Linked DNA regions of Rhinolophus ferrumequinum. The protein of the gene in region 2 purifies or fractionates together with the protein of the main gene of each other region. This does not show direct contact. Links are inferred from orthologs where the notes say so. Each region holds a gene or a part of one and is shown on either strand. Other genes may lie near its edges.

Region 1 (7,381 bases), on a different chromosome or scaffold from region 2:
TGAGCACTTACTGTAGGAGGCGTGGGCACAAGGCGGAGGCCAGGATGGTCCTGCCCTCACAGGGCTCCCACAGTCCAGTAAGAGAGGACTGTGAGAAAGGCAGACCAGGACAGAGAGGGGCGGCAGGAAGAGTGCTCCAGACAGATGGAGGAGCCTGGGCAAACGCCCTGAGGCTGGGAGGAGCCTCGGCAAGTCTGGCAGGCGGAGGTCTCCTCACCTGTTTCATCATGGAATGCAGAGCCACAGTGGGGAAGTTGAACTTCCGCAGCATCATGCACAGGATCTGGCAGGTCCTGGCAGGAAGGACACACTCTCAGTCCCTCCAGCACCAGGATCCTGGAAAAGCACTCTTGCCCCCGCCCCTGCCCGGGACCCATGCAGGTGGCCCTGCACAGCTGGGAAAGAACAAGCAGAGGTGCAGGGTGTCCTGTCCACTGCCGTCCTCTCTCTGATTCCTCCCCTGGCCTAAGCAAACAAGAGTTAGCCCTACATCCAGGGCCCATCTGTGTTGGTAGCCAATACATTCTTAGGGGGCAGTGCCCATCTACATTCTTGGTGTGGCGTCCCCATCTACTGGTTCATGCTAGAACAGTCTACAGCTTCTTGAAATCTCCCTCTATGCTTCAGAGGACTGTCAAGTCCCCTGGGACCACGGGGAGGACGACCCCAGGTGGGGGTGCCACTGCACTGGGCCTCAGTGACAACCCTAGACAACAGTGGATAGGCTGTTCCAAGGGTAGTGACAGCTCAAGGCCACAAGCCCTTCAGGTTAAGGCGGGTCTGAGGAACCCGAAATCCTGGTGCCACCTTTAGGAGGGGTAACCTTGGTGAGCTGCTTGATCTCTGTGAGCATTCTTGAGCAAATCCTCCAAAACCTCTGGTCTGAGCACAGGCCCTGGAGTGCTGCATGCCTCCCACCCATGACCTCAGGCCACATCTTAGGCTTCTGTGAAGGGTTATGGGGGAGCCAACCCTCGCTCGGGGGGCAAATGGGGGGGCCCACCCTCACTCACTTGCACGTGTTAGTGAAGATGATGATGGACCAGTCCTCGTGCTCATCCTGGAAGTTCTGGATCAGGTGGACCAGGTAGGCGTCCTTGACCTTCTCAGGCACCAGCAAGTAGCGCTGGTCCAGCTGTTCTACAGTGCGTACTCTGGGGACGGGCAGGCCTGTTTCCCCTTCTGATGAATTTGGCTAATCCCCTGCCCCACCCATGGGCAATAACTTCCACTGGGTGTGACGCCCCCCCCGCCCCCCCCTCCTGCTGCCTGCCTTCCCCCACCAAAGGTGGCTGTAGACTCACGGGGCCTGAGCCTCCCAGAAGAAGGGCTGGTTGGTGGCCAGGCCCTGCAGCTCCTTGAGTGTGTCGGTAAGAGTGGCACTGAAGAGCAGTGTCTGCCTGCGGGCCGGCACGGCTGCCAGGATGGCCTCCAGATCCACTGTAAAGTCAGTGCAGCCCTGCTCCAGCAGGCGGTCAGCCTCATCCATCACCTGCAGCACCGGCAGCCGGGGGATGGGGAGGAGGGCGCTGTCCAAGGCTGGCCTGCTTCCCCCGTGGGCCTCCTTCCCAGCCTTGGCCGTGGGCCTGGGAGCACTCTCCCTCAGTGTTTTGCAGGCCCTGCTCCCTCACCTGTCTCAGCTCCAATGCCGCCTCCTCAGAGACGCCCTGCTTCCAACCACTCTCGCTAGTACAGGTCACCTCTTATGGGTCTCTGACCCTGTCTCTGTTATGTTCCTAACATGCTACTACGACGGCCTGTGGGACATATGTTCCCCAAATGGATGAATCAGTGGCCAGGGCAATTTACCAGGAAGCGGATCTTCTTGATACTGAAGGTGTTAGAGCTGCGGAGGTGGTCAGCCAGGCGCCCCGGCGTGGCGATGACCACGTGTGGTTTCCGGGACAGCTCCAGGGCCTGGGCCACCATGTCTGCAGGTAGATGGCAAGAGGTGGGGCTGGGCGGGTGGTCCGAGGCTGCGGGGACCCCACACTCAGAGCCTCCCTGGGGCCCGCGTACCCATGCCGCCAACGATGATGCAGTCCTTCAGGCCCAGAGGCTTCCCCAGGACTCGGAACTGCTCTGCGATCTGGTAGGCCAGCTCCCTGTGGGTGTGAAGGAGCCGGGCTGGGTCAGACGGGTTCCGCGCCTGCCTCACATTTCCACCTCCACCGCCGCGGCCTCCTGACTCGCCGGCTCCTGTTCATACACCCTGCACAGCTCCCGGTCCGCTTTAGACAAAATCTCTGACACTGAGCACTGGAGGGCTGTGTGGGCTCTGCTCCCTCACCAGACTGGGTCCCAGAACAGCCCACGGCCCCACCCCCACCAGTCCCACCCAAACTGGCTTCTCCTCCTCCCATGTCCTCAGCAATGGCCTTGACACCAGTTACCAAAGCCTGAACCCCGAGCATTAGTGCCCCCTTCCCTGGGGCCAGTCAGTGTCCAAGTCCCTCCTCGGCCCATGTCCCCACTTCCCAGCCTCCTGTCTTACTCTCTCCTGCTCACACTCCCTCAGAATCAATTCTAACCTGGCATTCAAGGCCCTTCTCAAGCTGGCTCTAACGTGCCCAGCCCCAGTACCCCTTCTGTTCTCTGCCACTCACACCTCTGCATATGAATGCACCAGCAGACCTCTGCCTAGATTACCTTTCCCCAAACTTGTCCCTTTAGGATGAGACGCTTCTCATCCTTTAAGCACCCATGACTGAAGCGTTCCTTGACCACACCCGTTCCCAGACCACAGCCTTATAGAATGCCATTAGAGAGGACCTACGTCAATCACCGAGTCTATCCGCCCAGGATCCGAAGATATGCCTGGTTTTTGAGCTATAAGACTATTGACAGCTCCTGTATTGCCTCTTGCCCTGAGTCAAGCCCTGTGCTCAGCATTTTCACATGCTACCTTGTTTAATTCTGTAGCACACCTAAGAGGAGGCATGATTTCTGTCCCCATTTTGCACACAGGGAAAGTGCAGCTCAGAGAGGTAAAGGCATTTGCCCAAGATAACACAGCTGGTTAACTCACCCAGGAGGCCTGTGGGGGGTGGGGCTCACCTGGTGGGTGTCAGGACAAGGCAGAAGATGCCATAGGGATCCTCAGACAGCTTCTGTAAGATGGGCAGCACAAATGCTGCCGTCTTGCCACTGCCGGTCTTGGCACAACCCAGGCAGTCCCGACCTGGGCAGAGGGCAAGCGACATCAACACAGTTTAGGTATATACGATGTTCCATTGAGCACAGTTTACAACAGCTAACATTTAATGAGCAGTTAACTGTGTGCCGGGTACTCCCATTCCGGGCATACTAACAACTTCCCATTGTGGGCAACTGATAAATTCTGGGAGAAAGAGGCCATTATCATTTCCATTTCATAGAAGGTGGAACTGAGACTCAGAGATTTGCCCAGGAACATAGTTGATGAGTAGCAGGCTGGATTAGAACCCACATCCATCTGACCCAAGATGCTACCAACCACCACTTAATGTTGACAACCCTGCCCCCAGCATGAACTTGGGGGAATCTGGGGGAATTCCCCCAGTCTGCATCTCATGCTCCCTGTGGATTCTTTCACCTTTGTTTAATCCCTCAACTTGCTACATCCTAGGCTTTGTGAGGACATCTCTGCAATGGCAAAACTGGGTTGGGCCAGATGAGTGAGAACAGAAGTCACAGGACCAGAGTCCTGGATCTACCAGTAATCTTGACAACTTCACTTTGCATTTGTAAAATGAAGACAGTAGTACAAATTACTCAACTTTACCAGTATTATCGGTTAGTCATTCACCAACACCGCCCCCCCCCCACACCCGAACTCTTGAGACTATGAGAGTTCAGAGGCTACATAACTTGGCGGGGATACACAGCGAGTCAGTTGCGCAACCTAAACGCTAAAACCGCCTAGTGTGCCTCAACCCAGGATCCCCGAAACGCCCGAGGCTGCCCCTCGCCTCGCAGGACCAGCGTGGGTTAAAGGGAAGGGAGGCGACAGGAGCGGGCACGCCTCCCGGGGAGGAGACCGGGCCACACTCACCTTCCAGGATGGCGGGGATGCAGCCGAGTTGCACGGGCGTGGGCTGCTTCAAACCTAGCTGCCGACATTGTTCCACGAGCCACGAAGACAGTCCAAGCTCCGCAAACCCAGCCATCCTCGCCGCCGGCCGCAGAACCCGTGTGAGCCGCGCTTCCGGCGCGTGCCGATGACGTCACTAAACTCTCCCGTTGATTGGACCCGCCTCCAGCGTGGTCTCACCCTCGTTAGCTTTCTCTTCCATTTCCAGCCTCGATCTTTTTCTTACCGTTTCGGTGAATCCCAGTGGCCCGCAGGATCGAATCAAACTACAATTCCCGAAATGCTCTGCAAGACGCACTTGCGTCTTCCGCCCCTTTACTCCCGTTTCGGAGACTTCCATTAGCTCATCTCCAGGCCAAGTAAACTACATTTCCCAGTGTGTCCCGCGGGGGCGCCCTGCTTCCGGCCGACGTGTCCCTCAGGAAGAGGAGTGAGTGAGACCACAGTGACATGGCGCCTCCGGCCCCGGGCCCGACCCCTGGCGGCTCAGGGGATGTGGACGAGCTGTTCGACGTGAAGAACGCCTTCTACATCGGCAGCTACCAGCAGTGCATCAACGAGGCGCAGCGGGTGAAGGTGCGGCCGCTTCGGGTTGCGGGACGCTGGGGGCGGAGGACGCTTCCTGATGGCCGCGGGTAGCGCTCTGATTTTGAAAACTCTCTTCCCCTCGCGGCGTACCCCACTCCCCCACTCATATCTTCAGAAGCAGTGAGGAGTTAATCCTTGTTCCGTGACAACACCCAAAGAAGTAGCAGTTTATACTTCTCAGAGTGCTCGCTCTGCGCGCTGGCAGGCATTTGAATAAGAGGCATTTATGCCACCACTTTGGTAATAATAATGGTAATAATTCTCACTTGTTGAGCGCCCACATTGTGCCGCTATACCTTCAATTCCCGTTAAGTAGGGACTGTTTATCCTCATTTTACAGATGAGAATACCGACGCTCAAGATAAATGGTTTCCCCGACGTTACCTTGCCCCACTAGCCGGATCGTTTCTCCCCAAACTCGCACATTCATTCATTCATTCATCTGTATGAGTCAGCGTATTGGTGCTGGGTTCAAAGCTGTGATAAAATAGACAACTCCCAGCTCTCTTGCGGGAATCTCAGCCTTGCCAGGGAGACAGACATTAAGCAAGTACATAAATGAGTAAATAAACAAGTCGGGAGGTGGTGTGATGGAGCATGGTGGGAATGAGCTTGGCTGTTTGAGAACTAGAAAATAAACACGCCAGCGAGGAGCCGGTGACTGGAGAGGGGGCAGCAGGAGCCATTAGCAGGACCTTTGAGGAAGGGACGTGGCTGTTACTGTCACTTTGAGAATGAACCATTGGAGAATTTTTAAGAGCAGTGAACATGGCAGGGTGTTTACCTGCCTTCACCGCCTAGTGTTCCAAAGAGAATAAATGAGTAAAGAAGTGAGTGAATATGTAATTACAACTTGAACTTGAGCACTGTGTGTGGGCGTGGGGAGATAAAAAGTGCTGAGTTGGAAATTGGGAGGGAGGGGTTGCTGCTTCACATGGGAGTGGTCTCATCAAGCCTCTCTGACTCATTTGAACTTGACACTGAACCTTGAGAAGCATCTAACCCCATAAGTTGCTGCAAAGGTGCTGAGACAAGTATGAGCTCAGGGTAGTCAAGGCATAAGAGGCCTGTGTAACAGAAGTGGGGAGGTGGTGAAACGGGGGACTGAGAATGAGGTGGGCAGGGCCTTGGGGGAACAGCAGGGCTTTGGAGGCCATCAGAGCACCAAGCAAGGGAGTGACATGTCTTCATAGAGGCAGCCAGAAGGTTGGGAGGAATGTAGACTCTGCAGTAAAGAAGGCTTGCTCTCCATGCTTCTGGCCTTCGGAGCATCATTGTATAATATAGACAACCTCAAACAGATTTCAGGAAGCTGTTAGGATTTGTTGAGATAACATTTGCACGATTGTATTAATTTTTCTGTTGCTGCATTAACAACTTTATCACAAGCAGGTTAAGACAACACAAATTTATTGTCTCACGGTTCCTATAGGTCAGAAGTCCAACATGGTTCTCAGCAGGCTAAAATCAAGGGGTCAGCTGGGCTGTGTCTTTTCTGGAGGTTCTGGGAAAGAATCTGCTTCCAAACTCGTTCAGATTTTGGGCTCTCCACCTTGTGCCACGCTTCGCTCCTAGAGGCTTCTCTTCAGTTCTCAACCTCGCATGTGGCCCCCTCATCTCAGAACTAGGCACGGGGTTCTCATACTTGGAGTCTCGAGTTTCCCTTCTGCCTAGTTTCTGTTTTAAGGCCTTCTGCGATTGGACTGGACCCGGCCAGATAACCAGCACATTCTCCCCATTTTAGCGTTCATAACCTTGATCACATCAGCAGAGTCCCTCTTGTGATGTAATGTGAGCTATTTACAGGTCCCAAGGACTGGCGTGGATCTCTCTGGGGAGCCTTATTTGGCCCACCACCAGAATTGTGTGTGCTTCCTTGCTGGGATAGTATAGGCTGTGAGAAAATTGAGATGGACCTGGGTTCAGATTCCGGCTTTCCTGTGTTCTCTCTGAAACCAGGTCTGAGTCATCATTGTATCTCTCTGAGTCTCAGTTTCCCCTCCATCAAATGGGAACAATGACATCTATCAGTAGGGTCACTGTGAAATTCAGCATTGCGCTCACGTTCTACCCTTTGTCTTCTGCTATGTGTCTGTTCTGCTTACATCATAATATGCAGACTACATTGCTGCTGAAAGAACCAGCATGATCTTTTGTACAAAGAGAGTGACTGAAAACCATACCAGCAGTCACTCTGTCTGGAGGCACACGCAACCGACACTCTGGCAACGTGATAAAGATGTGCTAGCACCAGACCAAGATATCCCTGAGGCATCCAGAGAATGCGAGCACTGTTCATCTGATGTGATTTAATTCTGATCCGTAGGACACCTAAACCTCTTGGGCAGTCTGTACTATCTTGAATGCTGTCCCTGAAAAGATGTCCACCCAGAACTTGTCAATGTGACTTATTTGCAAAAAGGGTCTTTGCAGATGTAATTCCGTGAAGGATCTCTAAATGAGATCAGCCTGGATTTAAGGCCCTAAATCCAATGACTGGTGTCCTTCTAAGAGAAAGACAGAGAGAGGTTTGAGGCAGACAGAGAAGATGGAGGCAGAGGTTAGAATGATACAGTCATAAACCAAGGAATGCCTGGGGCCACCAGAAGCTGGAAGAGACAAAGAAGTATCCTCCCCTGGAGCCTTTGGAGCCAGTGTGGCCCTGGTGACACCTTGATCACAGACTTTTGGCCTCCAGGACTGTGAGACAATAAAGTCCTC
Region 2 (7,926 bases):
CACTGTGTACCAATGAACACCCACTGCATTTTCTTTTCTTCTCCCCTAGAATCTGAGCATGTACTTCTATTAACCCTCTACCCTTGGATCTACTAAATGAGCTTTCTTTGTTAAGGTTTTCCACCAACAATGATTTCAAGAGTGAAGGGAAGTATTCAATGGTCTGCACTTTGAGGCAACAGAAAAAGATGTACCCTCAGCTCACCTTTGCTCCAGTTAGTAAAAGACATATGAGGAAAGATGGTAAGCTCCTCTCTTTCAAAGCAATGGCTTACAGGACTGAGATATGGACAGGAGGAACAACCTATGGGGACAGGAGATAAGGGCAAATTGACATCTCTCGTGGAGGTTCTGGAGACAATTTTTCCTTGTAGCATGGAAGCTAAGAACTGATAGAGGCTCAAGGGTTGCTAAGCTTTTTAAATCCTTTTTAAATCCCTATTTAAATCCTCAAATTCAAAAAAGCTGTAGCATAGTGTTTCCAAACTATATCATCTACCACTTTAATAGGTTTGGCCATATCGCTGTGCTACTTGCCCTATTATTTACTTAATGGTTTTCTTTAAAAGGATATTTTTCTTGTCCTAATTAATATTATTACCATGGGTTTGATATACGAATTACATGGTTTTTTTTTAATGACACATATTTAATCAAATTCATAATAATTAAAATTTAAAATGTGTATCTATGTAGTGCCTAAAACTATTAGTGGTATGCATATCATACTTTGAGGAAAACTGTTCTAGAAGGGTCAGAGGAGTCTCAGAGGTACACAAGTCTCTCTGGGGCTGAGGCAGGACGTGGAGTGGAAGGGATTTGGGATAAGTTTGTATGGAAGAGGACACAACAGGAATTCTCCTTACAAATTATCATTCATTTAAGAACATTTATGGGCCACTACTAAGTGTTGGATACTTATCAAGCACGAGTAATAGTACATTCAACGTGTGAGACAGCTGGCTCACAAGCTCCTTGCACATTATATGAATAAGGGCTCGGGTTTTCTCCACTAGGCAGTTGCGACCCACTGAAGGATTTCAGAGCACTCAGTAGACAGAGCACTCAGTATTAGAAGTATAAGTATGGGTCCCTAGACTTCACTAGCTTATAGCTTCAAGATGATACCCCTTTCTCCTACGGGGCTTCTCTCTTCATGCAATTTCTGAATCTCCCTGAAGTACGCTTACCTGTTCCACATGCTAGTGATTGCCTAATACCTTTGCCAGCCATCCTGAGTCTAGTCATGGTTCCAGAGGTGTGTGGTCATATTGTGCCATCCCTTAACTGGCTTCTTCAGGCTTCTCTGCTCCTCTTCTATTTGCTTCCCCACTCCGTAGCCAACTATTGCCTCTCTTAACTCCCCATGTATAGCTCAAACCAAGCTGTGATATTAAACAACACTTCATAGATGTGGAAAGAAGTTAAAGACCTTATTTTAAAAGGGCTACTTTTAGGCTCAGGCTCAAACCTGCCTCAGTTCCTTCATACTTCTCAGTACATTAATCATTCTTGGGAATCTTCTGGCTTATCTACACTGTTTCTGCCTGGGTTCCCAATACCATTGGCCCAAGGAAAGGGAAGAGAATCGCTCCTTCCCCCAAACCTGTTTATTTTCAGCCCCAGAATAAATAAGTAGGAACATCTACAGACAGTATCCAACTTAAGGTGGTTTGACTAGGGTTTCCAGGCGGGAATTCCTGCTGGTTCTCAGGAACTTTCTCGCTTTCCCATTCCCGAATCCTGAGATATAAGTTGTTTTCTCTTCTCCACAATGAATCGTTTCCACAAAGTGACAGCCGATACTACCAACCACCTAGGTTTGAGGAGCTGATTTTCCTGATTTCCTGACCAACCTTTCTTGGGATTTGGGAACAGGAAAGTGAAAAAAATTCCTGAGAATGGACGGGAATTCCCATCTGGAAACCCGAGGTTTGACATAATTTTTTGACTTTACAATGGTTGTGAAAGTGATACGCATTCAGTGGAAACTAGCTAAGCTGTGATGATTGATTGGTAGGTTAGGTTATTAAATGCATTTTCAACTTATAATATTTTCAACTTACAACGGGTTTATTGGGATGTAACCCCACTGTAAGTAGAGGAGCATCTGTATTTCCTTTATGGAAAACTCTACCTGGAAAGTAAGGTGTGAGCTTTATAAGTCAGATAAGGCAAATGTAAAACAAGGTGTGATCAAATAATACAATGAATGTTTAAATAAAGACATTTTTATTACTGTAAAAGACACATTGTCATTAACCTCCCTCAAAATACTCCCCCTCGCTTCAAACAAACTTATCATTCTTGCCACTTACTGAAGCAGTTCTGGAAGTCCTCTTTCGTGAGTGTCTTAGGTTGCACTGTCGTGGCTGCCTCAATGTCCTCAATCAATTCAAAACGTTTACCTTTCATGGCCATTTTGGCTTTGGAGGAGAGCTGGAAATTGCATAGTGCCAGATCTGGTGAATAAGGTGGATGAGGATACACCACAATGTTGTTATTTGACAGAAATTGCTGTACTAGAAGTGATGTGTGACATGGAACCTTTCCGCTGCGATCACAAAATACAGGAATGATGCTGCCGAGTGCCATCCAATGAAAAGGCAGGACTCTTCAATACAGTAAGTAGTGCGAGGACCCTTAGAAACAGTGTGTGACGTTTCAACTTGTTCGGTATAGTCAGTTGGGTGTGAGCTACAGTTGAGAGAGTGTGTGTTTTAAAATGTGGCATAAATCATCCTCCATCATGACAGAGCTCCGTGTCACACATCGCTTCTGATATACGGCAATTTCTGTTAAATAAAAATATTACGGTGTGTCATCGTCCACCTTCTTCACTGGATCTGGTACTGTGCAACTTCTGGCTCTTTCTCAAAGTCAAAATGATTCAGGACATCAAGGCAGCCACGACAGCGCAACTTAAAGACACTCACAAAAGAGGACTTTCAGAGCTGTTTCAGAAAGTGGCAAGAACGATGGGATAGTGTGTTTCAAGTAAGGGGGAGTATTTTGAGGGGGATTAATGGCAATGTGCCTTTCACTGTAATATTTTTTCTTATTTAAACATTCATTGTATTGTTTGATCACACCTCATGGTTAATAGTACATTTAGTAAAGTTGGAGTTGAATCTTAAATGCTACCATATGCAGGATATTAATAGTTCAGCTTAAATCTATATTGGGGGAAAAATTTCACTAGACTCTAGAATGTAATCTAGATCAGAATTTCTCTAATTTTTCAAGGGCATGATTCTATTAAGGATATACACAATTTACTTTTCTAAACAGAATGTTTAATATCTCAGTCTGCAGCATTTATAGATTTATGGTGACTTTACAGTTTCCCTCAAGGAAAATGAGCAGATACCGACTTTAGTTATATATCTTAGAGGCCCATTAAGTGCTTTTCCTAAACAAGGACAATCTACTGTGGATTTAAAATAGTATCTCCTCTTCAAGCAAAAGAGAAAAGCTTCAAGCAAAAGCTCTGTGGCTAGCAACGCTCCTTCCCATAATAATGTTTCATGTTTATCAGGCATCCAAATAAAGAAAGATTACATAGAAAACGGTTTGGATGGGGGCCCTGGATTAGGAGGCTGTCCAAGAGACCAATGATAGGACGTGAATTAAGGTGTTAGCAGTAGGAATAAGGAAACGGATTCAAGGGATATTTACAAGGCGTAATACATCAAAAAAGTGGGAGGGATGGAAGCAAGAGGAGCCCGCAATGGTAGATTCCAAGAACATGCAGCTTCCTGTCTTGGAAGAGAATCTGGACAAAGTGATGATACTGAAGCCAAAAGTAGTTTCTTAGTTACACCCTCAGGCGGGAGACTGAAAACCAACAGACACTTTAGGAAAAGGCTAAGAGGGATGTGAATATATAATAGACGCCAACAACACACCTTAACTTAGTGAGTTATGGTTACTGTGTTTTCACAAAAATAAGACCGGGTCTTATATTAATGTTTGCTCCAAAAGATGCATTAGGGCTTATGTTCAGGTGATGTCCTCCTGAAAAATCATGCTAGGGCTTATTTTCCGGTTAGGTCTTATTTTCAGGGAAACACGTAGAGTCAATATGGTTGCAGATGGAGTCCTTTGAAAGGGGTGGGATTAAACAAGGAACATTCTAAACCAGCAATGTTTTAAGCTGGGTTTTGATGAAGGGAAGGACTCCAGAACTACAAAGAAGGTTGGGAACAGTAGTCCAAAATCTATCCCCGTGCTAAGAGTAAAGACCAGCTCTCTCCTCCCTCTAAGTGGGTCATTTTCATGCCCCACATTAAGAGTCCTTCTGGACCCTCTGGAAATCCACAATCACCGAGGTGCCCTGTGCTTTGTTGCAGTTTCCAAGAAATCAGAAAGTGACACGCTGACTTCCAAGACATATTGGGAACCACTAACCCTCTCCTCGCTCCTCAAAGAGAAGCCCACCAGAACCGCGCCAGGGGAGCGCGCCTTCCGCAATGGAAGGGCCCAGCAGTGGATTATACAGAATGCCACTGTCATTAAGTAAAACATCTTTGGGCCTCTCGCCTTGGTCTCGAGAGACTGAGAGGCCTGCAGAAGTCGCCATCCAGGGCGTGTCAACCAAATAAAATCGCGTTCTGCCCGCTCCGGGCCTGGGCTGCCAGGTCGCTGGCTGGGTGGGCAGGGGCGAGCCCCGGGTCCCGACCTGTCGCCCTCGGGGCTGCAACGCGGGCCCAGGGACCCAGCGCCTGGACCCGCCTCCGCCGGCTGGGGCAGGACGAGAGGGCGTGGCCACGTCCCCTGGGGACCTGAGCGGCCGCGACAGCCGGGGAGGGCGGGCCTTCTCCCCGAGTGACGGGACGGAGGCCCAACCGGCGCCAGAGCACGGGGCCGGTCTTCCTGCAGCCTCTTCCGCTTGCCGGCTGCGGCGCCTGGGACGGTTGCGGTGGGTCTGGGCGCTGGGAAGTCGTCCAAGATGATTAAAAAATTCGACAAGAAGGACGAGGAGTCTGGTACGCGCTGGGAGTCTGACGCCCACCCTCCGCCGCGGGGGTCCCTTCCCCCGCTCGCCCGCCGCCACCTGCTCTCGGGGCCAGCGGACCGGGGGGCGTGGGCGCCCGTGTGCCTGGGGGCCGGTTCCAGCCGGGGGCCTGCCCCTAGCCCCTCCCCCGGGCGCCGGAGCCTCCCCTCGGGTCGCGCGCTCCAGTCCCGACGCCCACGCGCCGCTTCGGGCTGCTCGGCGGCCCCGCCCCCTCCCCCTCCCCCTCCGCCTCCCCCACCTTTGGCGCAGCCCCTCCAAGCCGCCTCCGCTCGGGGTGGGCTGCTTGCAGAGGCGGCGGGCCCATGGCTGTTGGCGGCCAGAATGGGTGTGCGCGTGTAAGAGGCGAGGGATGCTGGTGGTGGTAGGCCCAGAGTGGGTCTGAGATCCACGGGACATCCTGTGTGTATATGTACTTTGAGGTGCCTTGCACCTTACAGTCGTCCTGGGGACCTTTACACTGTCTGCTTCCCCGGGGGCAGAAGTGTCCCATGGTACACAGATCATTTAATGCGCAGGCATCCAGAAGTGAGTTGCGTCTTGATAACTGTGGTACAGAGCAAATGGGGGCGATGCCAAGCCACTTCAGAAACAAACTCAGTGTCTGATAGATGCTGTCACCAAGTGTGGTAGAGGGTTGGGTTAGTAAAACCTTCATGGCCCCTTCCAACTTTAAGTTTATATGAGTCTCTGCTAAACTCTTTCCTGCCTCGCAGTAAATGTTGGAAACACAAAATCACGCGTGCCTTTAGGGAAATCGAAAGGGCCCTACGACAATCTCATTAATCTTAGTTGTGTGGACATGACTGATATCTGTAACATTCATATAAAAAGAGGACAGAAGAAGACACTCATTTGGGGCAGGGTTCCTGCAAAAGTACAAGATCTTACAGGAAAGCAATGACAGAACCAGTACCAGAATCAAAATGATTGTATTCAATTTATGTGCATATGAGTAATGATTATCACTGTAACATCCCAATGCTCACCTCAGGTGCGATATCGCGAGCATTCGCTACCCTTCTGTAGAAAATAAGTTTGTGTAGGATTACAGTTATTAAAGATTTTTTTGTTTGTTTTATAGGTAGTGGTTCCAATCCTTTTCGGCATCTGGAGAAGAGTGCTGTGTTACAGGAGGTATGGCTTAGAAGTGTATTGTGTTCCTTCTTTTCTATTCCATTTTAGAATGGTGGGCACAGACAGAGCCTCTGGAATGCTGAGATCCAAAATAAGGAGTGTAACTGAGTTCAGAGAATACAGACTTGAGGGAAAAGCAAGAGGGGTTGCTTGTCAGAGGAGAGACAGTCTAGAGTTTATAGAAATGCAAAAACATGCAGACTCTGCCACATGTTGAGAAGTATAGATAAAATGCCAGAAGAGGTGTTTAGTGTATGGTTATTGAAGAAGGTTACAGACACTAAACTCATTGTATTAAAATGATGTAGATAAATATTGTGATTCTCACTTAACATATAAAGCCTACAAAGTTGAAGTAGTAGACCTAAAGGAATGAGTTAGAGAGTATAGAATGGGAAATCAGGCTACATTTAATTATCATATACCATAATAAATTGAAAACTATAGGCAGCTAACATTGTTTGGAGATAGTGATTAAAATACATAATGGTCTTTATTAAAGTTGATTTTCTGTAAACTGTGATAGAAAAAGTAGAAAATATACTATACATAACAATGGTTTTTGTTTCCATAGGCTCGTCTGTTCAATGAAACGCCCATCAATCCGAGAAGATGTTTACATATTCTTACAAAGATTCTCTATTTACTGAACCAGGTAAATTATTTTGATTTTCTTGAGATTTGTGTCTTGGAATAAAAATACATACTATGCAGTAAAGCATTTTTTGGAGAGTATAATTATTTGATTTTCAAAACATCACTTAATTAAAAAATCTATAGTGTTTGATTGACATAATATTACCATATAAAACTTCTTGAGGATAAGGACTGTGGCATATACTTCTTTTTTATGCATGAGGTACTAAACCACTAAGCACATAGTAGAGTCTCAACATGATTTGAATTTCACAAATATTAGTTAATGTTAAAACACATTATTTAGAGTTTGTTCAGAGGTCTTTATGTCCCTCCAAAAAGATAGTGCAAAACCTTAGATAAATTCTAGATAGATATTTTACCCTTTTTGGGGGGTGGAGGGGGTATATGTTTTATAACTTTGCTTTTAATATTCAGATTTTATATCTATTATCCCTACTCCACCATTACTAGTAGCAGTATGATTCTGGGTTTAACCATTTAGTGCCTTAATGTCCTTTTCTATAAATGGGGATTATGATAAAAGATGCTTTATAAAGTTGTAATGATTAAATGAGGTAATAAACATTAAGCATTGAGTATAGTCCTGGATACATAGTAAACATTCAGGAATAGTTTTCATTCTGTATTCAGCAAGTATTTATTACATGCTTCCTGTGTCCTATGCACTGTTTTAGACACTGGGGATATAACAGACAAAATCAACAAAAATATTTATTCTAATGAAACAGATTCTATTTGCCATGGTTATTAATTTTATTTTTTCTTGTTTGTTTTTTTTTTTTGTTCAGACTTAAACATCTCATGAATGTCTAGGGCCTTAGAAAATGTGATTTTGTTTCTTAGACACACACACACACACACACACACACAGAGTTTACATATGGTGCTAAGAAGACAATGTTTCCCATTTGAATTCCATGAGAATATTTTATCTTTACTATGTTTCTTGACTGAAGACCTCATTCAGAGACAAAATAAAGTTGTGTAGTTTGCAAATGGTGATTGAGCAACAAGTATGTACTTTTAAATAAAATGTATCTATTCACAAACATCGTATCCCTCTGTGGTAGCATATTAGAAACATTTAAGGCACAGTTTGATTTCACTTTTCATGG
Region 3 (7,569 bases), on a different chromosome or scaffold from region 2:
AATTTCCTGCCACATATGAAAAAAAAATATGATGTATACTACATCAAATCAAGAAATAAACGTGAAAGGATGAACTGAGTATCAATCTGGGCAAACTTTCAGTTTTTTAAATCTGTGAGGATGACGAAAAGCATCAGGAGAGATGACAGCAGCTGAGAGCAATAACCATGAAAATAAGACAGACTAGTCAAAGTTCTATGTGGCTAAAGTTGTATTTACTGAGCCTAAACAGGTTTTCCTCTCTTTGTCCCAAAGTTGCCTTTCTGAATTAAAAAAAAAAAAAAAGAATTTTCCTACTTTATCTGATAGTGTAAAGGAGAGTCAAAAGGTATAAAATTATATCACTATAATGCTGATGGCTTCTTTTGTTCCAGTTTTGTCTACTTTTCACAAATTAGCAAATCCTAAAAGTTTAGCAGGCTAGAACATCACTTGTAACTAAAGGTTAAGTTTTAAAAGTTTACTAGCAAACTTGTAAAAAAATCTACACCATTTTTATTTCAAGCCCCTCCAAACCCAATTTCTATTTATTTCAACAATTCAAACTGAGGTGAAGGATGTTTCTATCTATATCTTCTGTTCCTTTATGACTACTACCAAAAATATGGAAAATTTCAAATATCACTTCAGTGCACCAAAATACACTAAGTACTTCCTACTCTCCGGGGAACGTATATAGTCATTAGAGCTCATTCCAACGATTAAATGTAAAGAAAAGTGTAGGTAAAGCAACTCACTATTTCACCAAACAAAAAAGTATTCGTTACTTAAACTGGAAATTACTTCTAAACAGTTTCTCATCTCAACTCTTTTGAGATAAAGTCACAAATTTTAGACTACTTATTTATTTATTGGCTGGGGGAGAGTAGTAAAGGCAGCTGCAATTAAGAAAAGGCTATTGTTATAATTAAGAACAGGTTTTGTTCTTTACCTTCCCAGCTGTAACCTTAAGTATTTTGCAGGGGTCTAAAAATGAAAACTTTTAAATTATAAGAAAAAAAATAGAAAGTCTATTCATTAATTTGCATTCCATTCTACTATCTTATGTGAATATGTATATACACAACATACGTATGAGTATATATATGTATATACATATATTTTGTATGTACATATATTTTGTACATAAGGGTATCAGTTTAAATGCCATAAAAGAGGGTTTTCTTTCTTCCTTCTCTAAAACTAGACCTCAGTAGAAACCTAATATTAAGTAATCTAAAATCAGGAGGTATTCCATTATTACTGATTAAGAGGGGGGAATATACAAGTAAGAACTGTCTCCTTTCAAACTGCAAACTATCTTCTTAAAGATACTTTCAAGATTTGAAGCATAATTTTCACTCTACTCTGTTTTAACCAGTAGTTATCAGTTTAAGTTAGTAGTTCAATTAAAAGAGAATCATTATTTTGGAACGTTCATTACTTAACATTTTTTTTGACAGAATCATTCAGAAAAAGGAGACATACACTTTTAAAATTCAGAAATATACTCCTTTTCTCCTTCGCATAATGCTTTAAAATGAAAAGCTTAACCCTGGAAAATGCATGTGTATTCCAAGGTTGATTTCATTTGTTCAACAGGTGGTGAACACAAAGAACAAAGTTCTTTTGGTTTTACAAGCTAAGTAATATGAATTAAATACACAAAGAAACTAAGATATTCAAATACACATTCTCTCAACCTGTTATGTACTCCTATAGAGAACGGTCAACTGCTTTTAAGCAGAATGTTATTAAACTACACAAACCATTATGTTATTTTTAGCAATGTCTAACAATTAAACTATCACATTTCTTTAGTTTTACTAGGCTAAACTGAGATGTTTTGTTTCCAAAAACCAATACTGCAAGTCTAAAGGTAACAAGTTTTCATTTTTAGTAAGGCAAAAGGTTTACTGAAGAGATAGATATTAGAAGAAAATATTTAGGCACAAATTAAGCATTTCTAATTATACAAGAACCTGAAATACAAATAAGCTTTTAATTTTCATTTTCTTTTTCAAATATGATCAAAGTTTACCTAGGTCATTTTTTAAGCTAATTTCAGATGGTGGTTCTGAATCCATTGGCACGTTAATTAACGTATAGCACACATTCTCAGCAGCCGTCATGGTTCCTGGTTATAATCAACCCTTGATACAAGATTAAAGGATCACAGATGCCAGGAAATCTAGGAAAATAAATACAAGGATATCATTACAAGTAAAAACCAAAAACAAAACACCAAAAACACAAGCAGTAACTTGAGTGATCCTTACTGTCTATAAAGTTGATTCAGTTTGGCTTCTAAATATTGAAGTTGCAGAAGGGGAGGGTTAACCTATATCGTGTCCCATAAAAATAAAGCCTAATGTAATAAAAAACATTTATCAGTTTTGACCTAAGGTATATTAGCTCCTACTCCACAACCCCGCCCAGGGTTTAGAATGCTGCACTGCAGAATGAAGGGCCACAATACAGTGACAGTCCCCCAGCCCCACCCCACCATATTACAGAAGTGACTTAACACCCAACCTGAACTGCTCAAGTTAAGAGACCCTGTGCACGGTTAACCTGCTAAAACCTTGAAGTGTTTTATCGTGTTCATCGGTGGGACTCGCCTCTGCGTACGTGGATCGGTGCGCTGTACCTCCACGCCCCTTTCCTGTCCCTTTTCCCCTGCAAAGCAAGTCCCAGCCTGGAACGGCGAGCCCCGGAGGCCTGGGAGGGAGAAGACCAATGGCCACTATACAGGCCGGGACCGGGCGTCCGGCCCAGAGCTTCCCAGACCCCTCGTTCCACTTCGCCAGGCCTGGACGCGAGCGGCCTAGTCTCTGCCCTTCCGCATCTTCCCGCTAGAGAGCCAGTACCTCCAACTCTGCTCAGCCCACCACGCTTTTGGGGTTGGGGGTTCGTGGCCCGCTACCTGGCTCCGAGGGGCAGCAACAGGGGCAACCGCGACACCGTCTATTCCTGCTCCAACCCCCAGCAGTAGCGGAGGCTCCGCGGAGTCCTTGGCTGACGTGGAAGGGGTGGGGAGACGACCGAGGCTGCAGCCGTCTAGCACCTACGGCAACGCAGAGAGGACATGCTTTCTCCGTTCTGCGGTTGCGCGCTGCAAGTATGTCTTGTAAGTTTCTTTCTTTTTTTTTCTCTTGTCCATGGTTGGTTTAGGCCGCAGAAAAGATTGGAAATACATATTTAATGTTTTCCCTGCAAGCTTGAATTAAGCGCTGTGGTAACTTGAATGCTATTTAGAAATTGTTTCCTATTCCAGGTATTAAAACAGTCAAGGGGAGGAAGTGCTTGGGGAGAGAGGAAACATTTTACAGTACTGTTTGATCCAATGGAAAAAGAGCACAAGATCGGGAGCTAGAAGTCCGTCCACCCACTAATAAACTGGGAAAGTAACTGAATACTACTTGAGTTAGTAACTTCGGTTTTTCTAATAAGGGACACTAGATTATATGAAGATCTATTTCAGTTCTTAACATCTGCAGTCATTTGAATCACTGCCTCTGCAGTTAGGCTGGAGTTGCTTGAACACCAAAGTCACGCTGTATGACGTGGCTTGTTTTAGTAACGGTCCCTTTCCCGATCCATTCTGAACATCCAGTAAATTTGAATTTTTTTATGCATAAAGGGAGATCGACAGTCACTGTTTTAAAGGATTTTACTATCTCCAAAAGACGTAATTTTTACAGTGACAATTCGCCATGGCACCTTCGGTTTTGCCCATTTAAGGTTCCATACCAGACTCCCCCACGAAAGGTTTCGGCCACTTATTAATAAAAGAAATTGAAGCCTTAAGAAAAATATTGTGAATACAAAGGGGTCTGACAGGACCTGCCCTTAGTAACAGGTTCACCTCGATTAGGGAGCTAGAACACAAATAGAGCATCCATCTAAAATCCAGATATTTTGAGACTTGTTTTTGGAGCCATCAGGCAAAAAAATTCCTTGATCACCCAAAATATATCACAAAGGCCATGTGTTTATAACACTTTGAGTGCTCCTCAAATCCTGTGCATTCATTTAAAACTGTTTGAGATAATTGTAGAGTGACATACAGAAATCCCATATATTTTTCACCTAGTTTCTTTCAGTGGTAACATCTTGTATAATCATAGTACAATATCAAATCCAGGAAATCGACATTGATACATTCACTTGTCACATTTTACCAGTTAACATGCACTCATGTGTGTAGTTACCGTGTTTAGATTCCAGTAATCACCACCAGTTAAGGTACAATTCCATTACAAGTATCACTCCTAACATTTTATAGTCACAGCCACTTCTCTCCATAACACCTGGCAATTACTAACCTGTTCTCTATTCTATAATTTTGTAATTTCAAGATGTAATATAAATGAATTATACAATGTAACCTTTTGAGATTGGCTTTTTCACTTAGCATAATTCCCTTGAGATCAACCCAAGCAGTCTGTACAACAGGTTGTCCCATTTTTGTGTATTCATTTTTAACATGAGATTTTTTACAACTGCAGTTATCTGGTTTCCAAGCCCACTTACCAAGAAATGACAATCTGTTGGCATGAAATGAAGCCCAAGAGAGCATAAAAACTAGACTTAGCAATAAGAAAGCTCAGCAGTTTAGGGCCATGGTGAATGGTGTAGGACTAACCGTATCCCCTTCAGTTGTCCTGAAGGCTCCATTGTGTTATGGAATAATTTGAGGCTTATCGTGACCAAGTTATTAAGTAAACTGTTAAATATGAAAAAAGGAAAGAAAATGTTTTTTAAAATCTCATTTAGGGAGATTTTAAAATTGTCAGAGGCAGTGTATATACTATTGTATATTCTTAAATACAGAGCTTGTTAAACAGGCATCAGAACTTTATGTAGTCTAATTCTTCCTTATTAAAACGTGCACTTTTGTTTTGAGACTTATTTTTACTCTAGCATGTAATTACATCATTTTGAATGCTTTTTAAATTACACATTATTTGAGAGCAAAGACTTTGTCATATACCAAGATTCATAAAAACTTACATGTCTGGGAAATCAAGGTCTAGAGAAAAGGGACTTAACCAAAACTGCAAAATAGTCAAACACTGAAAAAGCTGGGACCAGAATCTGAATCTGTCACCTACTTTACTGCCTCTTGTTTTTAAACCATACCAGTACTTCAAAGATGCACACATACTTAATAAATTCCAGGTGAATTATCTTTATATCAAAGTTGTCGCATCCCGCGCAACGAGGGTTGTGGGGAGTGAGGAGGATGGCGCAGGTTTAAGAAAAGACGGTAGCCAGTAAGAGTGTAAACAGGGCCACGGGGCTCCAGTCTCAAGAACTGGGCCCCAAATCGGGCCTACGCATTAGCTTTTATTAGTTAGGTGAGGATAAAGTTTGTCAATCTCAAGATCTGTGAATCCTACACATCATACTAGGAAACTGATTCAAGCCAATCACCCTTGCCAGCAGGCAGCGGAACCCTTAAGTCTCAGGATGTACATCCTTCCCCAAGGGACAAAACCTTTATGCATATGAATAGATGGAGAGCACATCATTGAATCTCTTCCCCTGCAGGTTGTGGGAAGGAATGCAGCCACAAAGGAAGAGGCTCTCCTTAGCTGCGGGAAGGTGGGGGGGCTGTGCCCACCTCTTATCGACCCCACAAGTCCCCACTTTACTGCGCCTGGCTTGAGTTGTTCCCCCCCACCATGGGGAATCTTACTTGTCATTGGCTGACCAGCCATCTTTCTGGGGCCAAACAGGGAGACATAAGGTGCAAACACAAAGGTGAAGCAAAGTCTCTGAAAGGATCCGTCTCACAGACTCTCCTTTCTTTAGGGGCAGGTACAAGGAGACAGATAGGCTGCTGCGTAGCAACAAAAGTGATGTTTTATGAAAGGACATTAGGAATTTTGTTTACAATTAACAGACTAAATGGAATAATTGAGTATAAACAACTAGATAAACTGACATAAAAAGGCATCACAATGAACTCTGTACAATGGGGTTGAATCTTATTGGGGTGAGGAAAATTTTAAGTTCTAAAGTCAGTGTAGAAGACTAAAATCAAATGTTGAAAAAATTACTAAATTGCTCCCAAAGTACAATATGGATCAGTTTTTTTTTTTCAGCCAAGTGCCACCCAACTTTGGTTTACATTTAGGGAACAGTGTATAAAAATTATACATGCACACACAAAATCTTTAAATAGAATCACTTAACAAAGACAAAGGCTCACACCATGATAGGCACAGGGGAAGAGACCTGCCTGAGGAAAGAGCCGATTACGAAATTTCTCTCTTATGTTGTCTCTACCAGACTATACCCCCATTGAGTCCGAAGGCAGGCGGGAGGGCTCCCTCATTCAGTTTTATTTTGTTTGTGAAAGTTACGTGTGCTTGATGCAACGTCATTGTCAGTTAAATGGCCACGTGGTACTTGTGGCCTTGTCCCAAGTTCAAATGGCAGACTCTTGAGGCTACTCCAAAGTGGAGACTAACATTTCACATATTCCTGTATTTAGTCAGGTTTTTCTCTCAACAATGTTGCCAGTTTCTCTTATCACTCTCCCCTCAAGAAGTTAGAGATTTAAACCTAGGAACCTAAGAATGCTTTTCAAGTTTTGAGCAATCTAGAAAAAAAATTAAATGAACATTTTATGAAATTTTGAGTATACAAGGTGTTTTCACATAAATTGTCCCATTTGACACTCAGAATAATTCTCTGAAGGACTTCCTTAAAATAAGGCTAAGTATAACTTGCCTAAAGACAATAGTAACTAATTAGCAGAATTAGGTCTAAAATCCAAGTTCCCGATCTACAAATGAACTGCTCCTCTCCAGAAAGATATGAATATATTCATTATATTCATAACTTTTCTAAGGCTTCTTAGCAGCAAAATTTTGGTTTATTGCTTTTGTTTTTTCAATCAGATTTCCTTTAATTTCATTTTGTATGGTCTAAGATAAAAATTGTTCTGCAGTATCTCGGTACACAGCTCACAGGAATAATGGCAGGCAGCTTCAAGATTATGCTGGAGTTTGGTTGAGCAGGATAAGAGGAAATGATGGTTTCAGATTAAAATTTCCCTTTTGTTGTTTCTGCAAAAGTTCCCTACACTGAGAGCAGAGCTATCATTGCTGACATCTGCTGGTCGGAAAGAAAAACAATTTACATGTTAATAATCTTGCTACTACTATTGCTTGAAGTGGTGGTTTCTTAGGTTTTATCAGAATCTCCAAAGCTGAACCCTGAAATTTGTATTCTGAACCAAATCTCCATGAATTCTCATGCAGACAGTCCATACACTGGGGAGCTAGTATAAGGCTATGATAGATAAAGAGTTATTATTTTTCCCCATCACTAAAAATAAGGCAATTTGACAAACATGGCAAATGACCAGTTGTAATCCCAGACTATTTATATAGTTGAGGCTACTTAAAAAAACAACAACAAAAACTCAATACTCCAGCAGGTGAAACAATTTTATTTCACAGTTGTCTTTAAAACCACGAAGACACTATATTCTTTATATAAAAACATTAGTACAGATAACTATACTTTCTAGAAAATGATTATATAGACCCCTCTTCAAAGAAAAATGCGTCA
Region 4 (7,621 bases), on a different chromosome or scaffold from region 2:
CCAAGAAGTCTACTCATGAGGTCTTGTTCATTAAAGATTAGAAAGGCTGTGTGATCTTCACTTTCCTGCCCTCTTCCCTCAACCTCATAAGTCATATATGCAAGATTCTATGACAGCAGACACCAAAGGGTTCAAACCTGTATTTTCTCCAAGAAATGGCAGGCTCTAAATATCTAGCTTGTTCTAGCACTGAATCTTCCTTTGTGAAAACATATGTGCAGACTCCGTTGGCCTCAGTAGCCTCCCTGGATCTCTATTCCTTTGCCCTATTTGGGAATAACTTTACTTGCTTTTGGCCAGTTTTAGGTAAAGTTCATCAAGAACACTAAGGTCTCTAGAACAGAGCTTCCCAATTGATGGGCCTTGAATCATTTAGAGATGTGCTGATATTGATTCCCTTCATTTCTGGGGACCCTAGGCTGGAGCAGACTCACCTATTACCCCAGGAGGCTCTACAAATATCATCGATTTCTATATGTGCCAGAATGCCATACAAATAACATTTTCTATGTATCTCATCACATTACAAAGATTGGGAAGCACTGCATTAGAGGATAGATGACCCTGAGTTCTATGTAGCAATGCAGCTCAAGTCCCTAGTGATCCATGTAGAGACATCTTAGGGTCTCCCCGCAAGTCTTCTTCCCACTCAAAACTGGATGTGTTATTCATAAATTGTTTTAGAGCAGTTCTCAACTCTGGCTGTATATCAGAATCACTTTGGAGTTTTTAAAAATACAGATACTTGGGCTTTACCTTAGATCTACTAAATTAAAATCTCTAAAGGTGAGGCCCAGGCATGTGTATTTGCAAAACACGCCACTTGTGGTTCTTTATTATACACAGCCAGGCATGCAAATTATGGCTCTAGACCAAGGCACTGAAATACCTGTAACTTCCATGAGACAAAAACTATAAGCACTTTCAGACTGCCAGCCAGGTAGTCTTTTGCTCCCATGGGATCTGGTAAAATCTAGATATGAAAGCAGGTCCACAACATTCAACTATGTCTTACACATAGCAAATACTTAAGTTCATGTTGATAGTGACGATAATAAAATACAGAGGAATATCAGAATCTGGAATAACTTTAGTAAAGATCTACCTGGGAGCATTTGAGATCTTGCTCCCTCGCATATGTCATCAGTTTGGTTCAAATAAAGTCTCATTAAAAAAAAAAAAAAGACCTACCTATCAATGGCAGTTCTAAGTAAAATAAAAGACAGCAGTCTTTGCCATAGTATTTAAAACATGGGAAAAGGAAAAGCTAGTCTGGCAAATAAAAAATATGTAACTTCAGCTCCAAGGAGGACAAGAAGAAGACAAGTTATGACACTGAAAAAAACCTGGATTCTAATCTGGGTTCCAGTGGGTGACTGTGTTGTCTTAAGTAATTTGCTTACTTTATATAAACCTTCAATGAGGAGAAGATTTTCCACCCCTATCTATCTTATACTGTAGGGACAAATTCAAAAAGGAAAGAAAGGAATGAAAAGAAACCTACATATATAAACTCTTCGAGCACTTTAATAGGGTCTAACAGAAACAGGGCATTCTAATCAGAAAATCAAACCTGGGTCTTTCTCCTTCATTTTTATCATGGTAGCAACTCTAGTTAAAGAGAGCGTAGCCTGCTCAGGACAGACATACATGATGAAGTAAGACTTAGAAATGAGTAGGTTGAAAAGGAAACAAGATCTTAATGAGGAAGTGGCCAGAGTCCAGCCCCTCCCCACTTGTTTCTCTGTATTGGCACTTGGCTGTATCTCTAGAAGCTACTGCTTTGCTTCCAACAGGGCTGCTCTAAGAACATGCAGCAGAATGACTCATTCCCAAAGGGGTATCTTGGAGGCTAGCTCCAGGAGGACGGGGTCCTAGCCCTTGCACTAAAGTGGGGTTCTAGCAAGATCAGCAGTCTGACTCAGCCCACAGTTTAAGAACTAAGTCCAGTTTAAGAACTAAGTACAACAGAAATGTTATTTGGAACTGCTTAAACCAATTATCCTACTCCCAGTACTTCCTGTAGCAAACATATGGGACAACATAAGAGGAAGGATAGGTACAAAAGTAGTAACTGCCACCTTGAGCAAGTCCGTCACTTCTGTGTCCCCGTTTTCTCCTATAAAATTAGGTTTCAGGAAAGTCACAGAGTACTGCTGAGACCACATTATTTACTCAGCATCATCAATATACATTTATTAAAGGTTGTCTGACTTTCAGCTTTGTGTAGGTATATTGTCTTTATACGAGTAAACTGAAATTCAGAGGTGACCAATTTGATGAAGGAGCCAAGATCTGATTCTGTTTCCTGCTTACCTGCAAAACTACATTCAGACAGAGCTACTATCCACAGAAGAACAAAATTTGAAGATAGCAGGTTAAGCAGAAGAGGAACTGGGATTCAGACTTCAGATCACAACTTTTTTCCCCTTTCATAGTTTTATAGGCATGTTGTCATGGTACCCTGTTTTGGAACACATTTACAAAGCATAAAGACAAATCCAAATGCTTTACAAATTCCTCTTGCAACTATTTGGCTTTATCAATGCCTTCTCTTCAAATAGTTCACTGCCTTCAAGAAGCCCATTTTGGTTGCAAAAAGATCATTTAGAGTTCAGGTAATGACTGAATTCCATAGAATATGAGACTTTTTTCTCCTAAGAAAACAGTATAGTTTTCCACTTGACCCACTAGGTGGTTAAGAGTCCTGGCTTGGAATCTGGACCACCAGGGCTCAAACCCTAGCTTCATCCTTAATAGCAGGATGATCCTGGAAAAGTTACTGAACTTCTTTAAGTCCCACTCAGTTTCATCATTTGTAAAATGAGATAATAGAGCCTACTCCATGGGGTTGTTGTGAAGATTAAATGAGATGCACATGTAAGAAGCTTAGTATGCAGCATTTGCTAAATGTTAGCTTTTAATAACTATCTTGCCTGGTTTGACAAATGGTTCTCTACCAGCTCCCACCCACATAGCCTAATCTGTATGCTGAGACTCCCAAGCAGGACTTGGATATTTATATCGAGGGCAAAGACTGAACCATCAATGGCCACAGGCAAAAATCCCAACCTCAACTCACAATGGCAGCCAATCTGATGGGTGGCATTGAGCAGACGGACACAGGGAGCTGTTTTATTTAAGGGAATGTAGATCTTCCTCTCCACTGAGTTTCCCCCGCACAAACCTGATCAGAAGATAAAAAGTGTTAGTAAAAACTAGGATAGTACTAGCCTCCATCTTGTCTTTAGCTCACTGGATGGCTTGGGCATATCATACTTTCTAAAATGGGACTAATGTCCATTCTTCTCACTTCTTGGGCACATTACTGGAACACCTAAATGCAACCACCTATGTGCCTCAGAGGGTTATTACAAATTCTACATAGAGCAACTGACAGTGAAGCTAAAAGAAAAAACTTCTTTTGTCAGAGGAAAGGCATTTAACCTCAGATGTACCAGCTTCTGGTTGCATCGGTGACCACACTTCCACTTTTCTATCTGTATGTGTATTACAAATTAGTTAATAAAAGGGTTCCAATCTAAGATTATAAATTACAATTTAAAAAATCTTTCTGAGACTTTTTTCCAGGAGTCTGAACAGAATTGGGAGAAAATCTTTGCCACACCTGTCAGTTAATCTAACATCAGTACATCACTTGTGTGTGCCCAGTGTGGGGCGGCTATAGTTTCTCCTTTGGGGATCTTTAAAAACTATGTGAACTTGGGGAAGGTATGGTCACCGTTATATACAGGCATGTTTGAATTTTAGGGCTTGACAAACTAGAAAGCCATATACCAGAAAATAAATGCGTATAAGCAAACACTTATATACATTATAAATGCTTAAAGTTCCTTGAATCATTATTTCATGGTCTAGACAGTTAAGAGTACCCCATATCCTGATAACACAAACTGAGGAAAAGTACGGAGAATAAAGTACGCGGAATCAACAGCAGAGAAAATGAGGAATCTACTGTTCTAATAAGCGCTGCACTGCACCCACAGAACGAGGCTGCTTTCATCTTGAAATGTCTAACCGCTTTGGGAAGGAAGCTGAACGATGACATCTGTCCTTTTTGATTGTGGGTGGGGTGGCTGGGGCCCTGGGGAAAAGAAGGCATCCGGATAAAGTGGGATAGAGTCGGGCTGGAAGTCCTGGAGAAGACCTGGAGGAAGAAATGGGGCGACCCGACGTGCCGCGGGGGAGAGACCTTCGGGTCCAAGTAAAAGGGAAACTTCTGTCGTGGGAACGAATGAGAAAGAGATTTACAGGGTTGGGGGACAGAAGGGCAGAAGGAACCAGGAGATAGACGGTGGCGCTCGCGGCTGGGCCGATCCGAAGGGTTCTCCTTACAGACTCACGGACGAGGGAGGCCTCACCTGCCAGGAGGACGCAGAAAGACAAAAGGCAAAGAAGATCCCGACATCCCAGGTAAGCCACAGAGGCACCACCCCCGGCCGTGGCCATTTTGTCTCTCTGCGGAGCGGAAGTCTTTGTGCCCCTCCTGTCCGTTCGTGGCCTCTCTAGGCCCACACCGGCGCCGTCTCTGTGGCCCGGAGCTCCAGGGACCGGAAGTTCGTGTCTGGAGGAACTTCCGGGAGCTGCTGCTGAGGGCCGCTGACGTGGAGACAAACGAAGGGCTTCAGGGAGTGGCGGGGCTTGGATTAGGAGCTCGGAGCTGCAGGCCTGAAGGATGCTAACCAAATTCGAGACCAAGAGCGCACGGGTCAAAGGTAGTAGAGGAGCATAGGGGCTGGATGTCAGGGGCGGCGCTGTCACCGGGGAAGAGAGAAGGTAGACCGGTGGGCCGAATTGGGCCCTCGGAACGAACCCTGAGGAAGATGGACCGGAGGGAAGTTAGACCTGCGGGCGGTTCTCCAGCCCGCCACACCTCAGGAGGGTCCTAAGGCCCGTTTTCAATTCTTTCCCTTCTCCTCATCTGGGGCCTGTGTTCCTGACTTTTATTCCTCTGCTCCCAACGCCCTGTGACCTGTTGGCTTTTTGATGACGTATTCTAGGGAGTGTCCCTGGGGATTGAGTCTCGACCTCTGCCATTTGTATCCAAGTCAGTAGCTTTTTTGGAGATGAGCACTGGCTACCTCACTTAAGGAGGCTGCACCAGGTCAACATCCAATGCCTCCATTGGGCTTTATTTCCTACTTGGAAACAGGACATTTAGGCCTGTAACCCCAGTAAAGTCTGAACTTGATAAGGTTGCCAGGATGCCCGGTTAAATTTGAATTTCAGATTAACAGTAATTTTTGGTATTGTTCATGGTTTATCTAAAATTCAAAGGTAACTGGGCATATTTATTTCCTAAGTATGGCAATTCTAGAGCTTTAGTATCAGTGGTTGGGGGTGGAGGGCAAATGACTGAAATCACAGCAGTAATCTCTTAGAATGTTACAGTGGGAAAGGCAGAGAAATAAGGTCTTCTGAGATTTGGAAAAAGTATATATCTTGAATATTTAGTAAGATGCAGCTTGCAAAGTGGTTAGGAACTTAGCGTTTGGAATCAGATGGGCTTGCTTTGGAATGCTGAAATATCCATTAGCTAGGTGTATGACTTAACAGTTCTAAATCTGTTTAATGTGTAAAATGTGAATAATTAACATTCTCTAATAAAGATAATTAAAATGGGAAAGTATATGAAAAGTGCTTGTTACAGTGCCTGACATAGACTCATTAGCTTAAAAATCTGTTCTTGCTAGCGAGGATGGAAAGACCTCCTACAACTACAAGGCATATAGAGACTTCAAAAGGGTATTGCATTAATAGTGGTGCCAAATTAGACCTACACTAAAGACTGCTGTGGACCCACCCTAAAAAAACTTAAAACGCAAGTGTCAAAAGAATCAACTGATTCCAAGTAATTTAACTGCACCCTAAGACAAATTCCAACAATATTTAAAAGAAGATAGCAAATATTTTTTTAAAATCCAGCACCTTATAAAATTCACAATGCCCAGCATCCAGTGAATGAATGAATGAACCTAGGATTAACTTAGCTGTTCCTTTTTCTTATCAGAATTGACAGGAGGTGACTTTGTGAGGCTTACTTAATTTATTGGATCACTCTCTGCTTTTTTCCCCCAGGGCTCAGTTTTCACCCCAAAAGACCCTGGATCCTGACCAGTTTACACAATGGAGTCATCCAGTTATGGGACTATCGGATGTGTACCCTCATTGACAAGTTTGATGAGCATGATGGTAAGATAATAGTTTCTAGGAGGAAATTAAAAAAAGATACAAGTATTTATTGTCCTCTAGAATACTTTAAGCCTTGTTTGACATTAATTCTTTTAGGATTAAACAATGTGGAGGGGATAGAACTGGAAGATCCTGAATAAGAATCACCTTAGAGATTAGGAAGCATAGCTCTCTTTAACATATATTGCCTGCCTTTTTCCCCAGGTCCAGTACGAGGCATTGACTTCCATAAGCAGCAGCCACTGTTTGTCTCTGGAGGAGACGACTATAAGATTAAGGTACAGCGGGTCTGTCATTACTAGGAGTAAAGAACAGAGAACATGGAGTTTGGGAATTGTGGAAGGGTCTAAAAAACAGTACTTCTTACTCATACAGAGCTCAGGCTTTTCACAATGTTATCCAGAACACTTATCCAGCAACATTTACTGAATGTTTACTGTGTATCAGACACTGTTTTATTTTTTGGGAATTCAAAAATAAATAAAAAATGGCCTCTGTTCTCCAGGAGCTTTCATTCTAATAGAAGAGATAACTGTATATCCAAATAATAGGTGTGTACAGTTTAGTGAGTGATACAATAGAGAGATAACCAAAGTGAAATAGGGAAGGGCATTCCAGGTAGAGAGACCAAAAAGCATGACATAGCTGGATAAGAAACTATAATTAGTTTTGTGTAAGATGAGAGAAAGGGCCAGATCATGGAGTTTGCAGTGTTCAGGAGATTGGATCTGTACAAATAACGAGGAACCATTAAAGGGTTTTAAAAAGAGGAGTGATATCAGACTGACATTTTTTTTATAACGATTACTTGTGTGGTAGTATAGAGAAAAGATTGGATGAATTGGGCAAGACTGGAGGCGGAGATACCAGTTAGGAGACTGTTGTATAAGTTCATATGAGAGAGGAACAGCGCCTGAGCTTAGGCAGTAGCATTTGAAATGGAGAGAAAGATGGATATGAGTGCTTAAGGAAATGAATCAGTAAGTTTGTTGCATGGATGTTAGAGGAATTGTAAGGGAAAATAAGTGAGATTATTTATCTCAGGCTTCTAACTTAGGTCACTAGGTGGAAAGGGTACCATTAACTAGGAAAGGAAAAACAAGTACAATTTTTTGGAGTGGAAGAAGATGGTGTCTCAGTCTGTTCGGGCTACTATAACAAAATACCACATACTGGGTGGCCGATAAACAACAGAATTTTTTTTTTTTTTTTTTTTTTTTAAAGGAGGGCACAGCTTACAGAGGCCCATGCAGGGATCAAACCGGCTATCTTGGTGTTACTAGCACCACGCGCTAACCACCTGAGCTAATCAGTCACCCCCCAGAAATTTCTTTCTCACAGTTCTGGAGGCTACAGGTCCAAGATCAGGGTGCCAGCATGGTCCGGGTCTGCTGAAGGTCTTCCAGGT

Evidence for each region.
Region 1: the proteins of COPG2 (region 2) and COPE purify together in Homo sapiens (affinity purification with mass spectrometry; 5 studies listed by BioGRID and IntAct, with this or other methods). This does not show direct contact. The link is inferred for Rhinolophus ferrumequinum from reciprocal best matches to the Homo sapiens genes COPG2 and COPE.
Region 3: the proteins of COPG2 (region 2) and COPB1 purify together in Homo sapiens (affinity purification with western blotting; 4 studies listed by BioGRID and IntAct, with this or other methods). This does not show direct contact. The link is inferred for Rhinolophus ferrumequinum from reciprocal best matches to the Homo sapiens genes COPG2 and COPB1.
Region 4: the proteins of COPG2 (region 2) and COPA fractionate together in Homo sapiens (co-fractionation; 4 studies listed by BioGRID and IntAct, with this or other methods). This does not show direct contact. The link is inferred for Rhinolophus ferrumequinum from reciprocal best matches to the Homo sapiens genes COPG2 and COPA.

Annotation. Positions count from the first base shown.
Region 1 is NC_046301.1:51,517,240-51,524,620, reverse strand, and holds the start of COPE (coatomer subunit epsilon), read left to right. Parts: upstream 1-4,362; 5' UTR 4,363-4,522; coding exon 4,523-4,648; intron 4,649-7,381. Other genes in the region: probable ATP-dependent RNA helicase DDX49, read right to left, coding at 218-293, 1,014-1,154, 1,305-1,492, 1,810-1,931, 2,020-2,105, 3,058-3,181, 4,034-4,148. UniProt on the Homo sapiens protein: The coatomer is a cytosolic protein complex that binds to dilysine motifs and reversibly associates with Golgi non-clathrin-coated vesicles, which further mediate biosynthetic protein transport from the ER, via the Golgi up to the trans Golgi network.
Region 2 is NC_046309.1:16,018,935-16,026,860, forward strand, and holds the start of COPG2 (coatomer subunit gamma-2), read left to right. Parts: upstream 1-4,862; 5' UTR 4,863-4,951; coding exon 4,952-4,988; intron 4,989-6,098; coding exon 6,099-6,151; intron 6,152-6,725; coding exon 6,726-6,806; intron 6,807-7,926. Other genes in the region: TSGA13 (testis-specific gene 13 protein), read left to right, coding at 116-243, 4,353-4,522. UniProt on the Homo sapiens protein: The coatomer is a cytosolic protein complex that binds to dilysine motifs and reversibly associates with Golgi non-clathrin-coated vesicles, which further mediate biosynthetic protein transport from the ER, via the Golgi up to the trans Golgi network.
Region 3 is NC_046294.1:38,767,178-38,774,746, reverse strand, and holds the start of COPB1 (coatomer subunit beta), read right to left. Parts: upstream 3,031-7,569; 5' UTR 2,906-3,030; intron 2,621-2,905; exon of another isoform or gene 2,601-2,620; intron 2,277-2,600; exon of another isoform or gene 2,259-2,276; intron 2,171-2,258; 5' UTR 2,112-2,170; coding exon 2,021-2,111; intron 1-2,020. UniProt on the Homo sapiens protein: The coatomer is a cytosolic protein complex that binds to dilysine motifs and reversibly associates with Golgi non-clathrin-coated vesicles, which further mediate biosynthetic protein transport from the ER, via the Golgi up to the trans Golgi network.
Region 4 is NC_046305.1:28,213,202-28,220,822, forward strand, and holds the start of COPA (coatomer subunit alpha), read left to right. Parts: upstream 1-4,580; 5' UTR 4,581-4,696; coding exon 4,697-4,736; intron 4,737-6,099; coding exon 6,100-6,213; intron 6,214-6,417; coding exon 6,418-6,491; intron 6,492-7,621. Other genes in the region: NCSTN (nicastrin), read right to left, coding at 3,083-3,187, 4,383-4,470. UniProt on the Homo sapiens protein: The coatomer is a cytosolic protein complex that binds to dilysine motifs and reversibly associates with Golgi non-clathrin-coated vesicles, which further mediate biosynthetic protein transport from the ER, via the Golgi up to the trans Golgi network.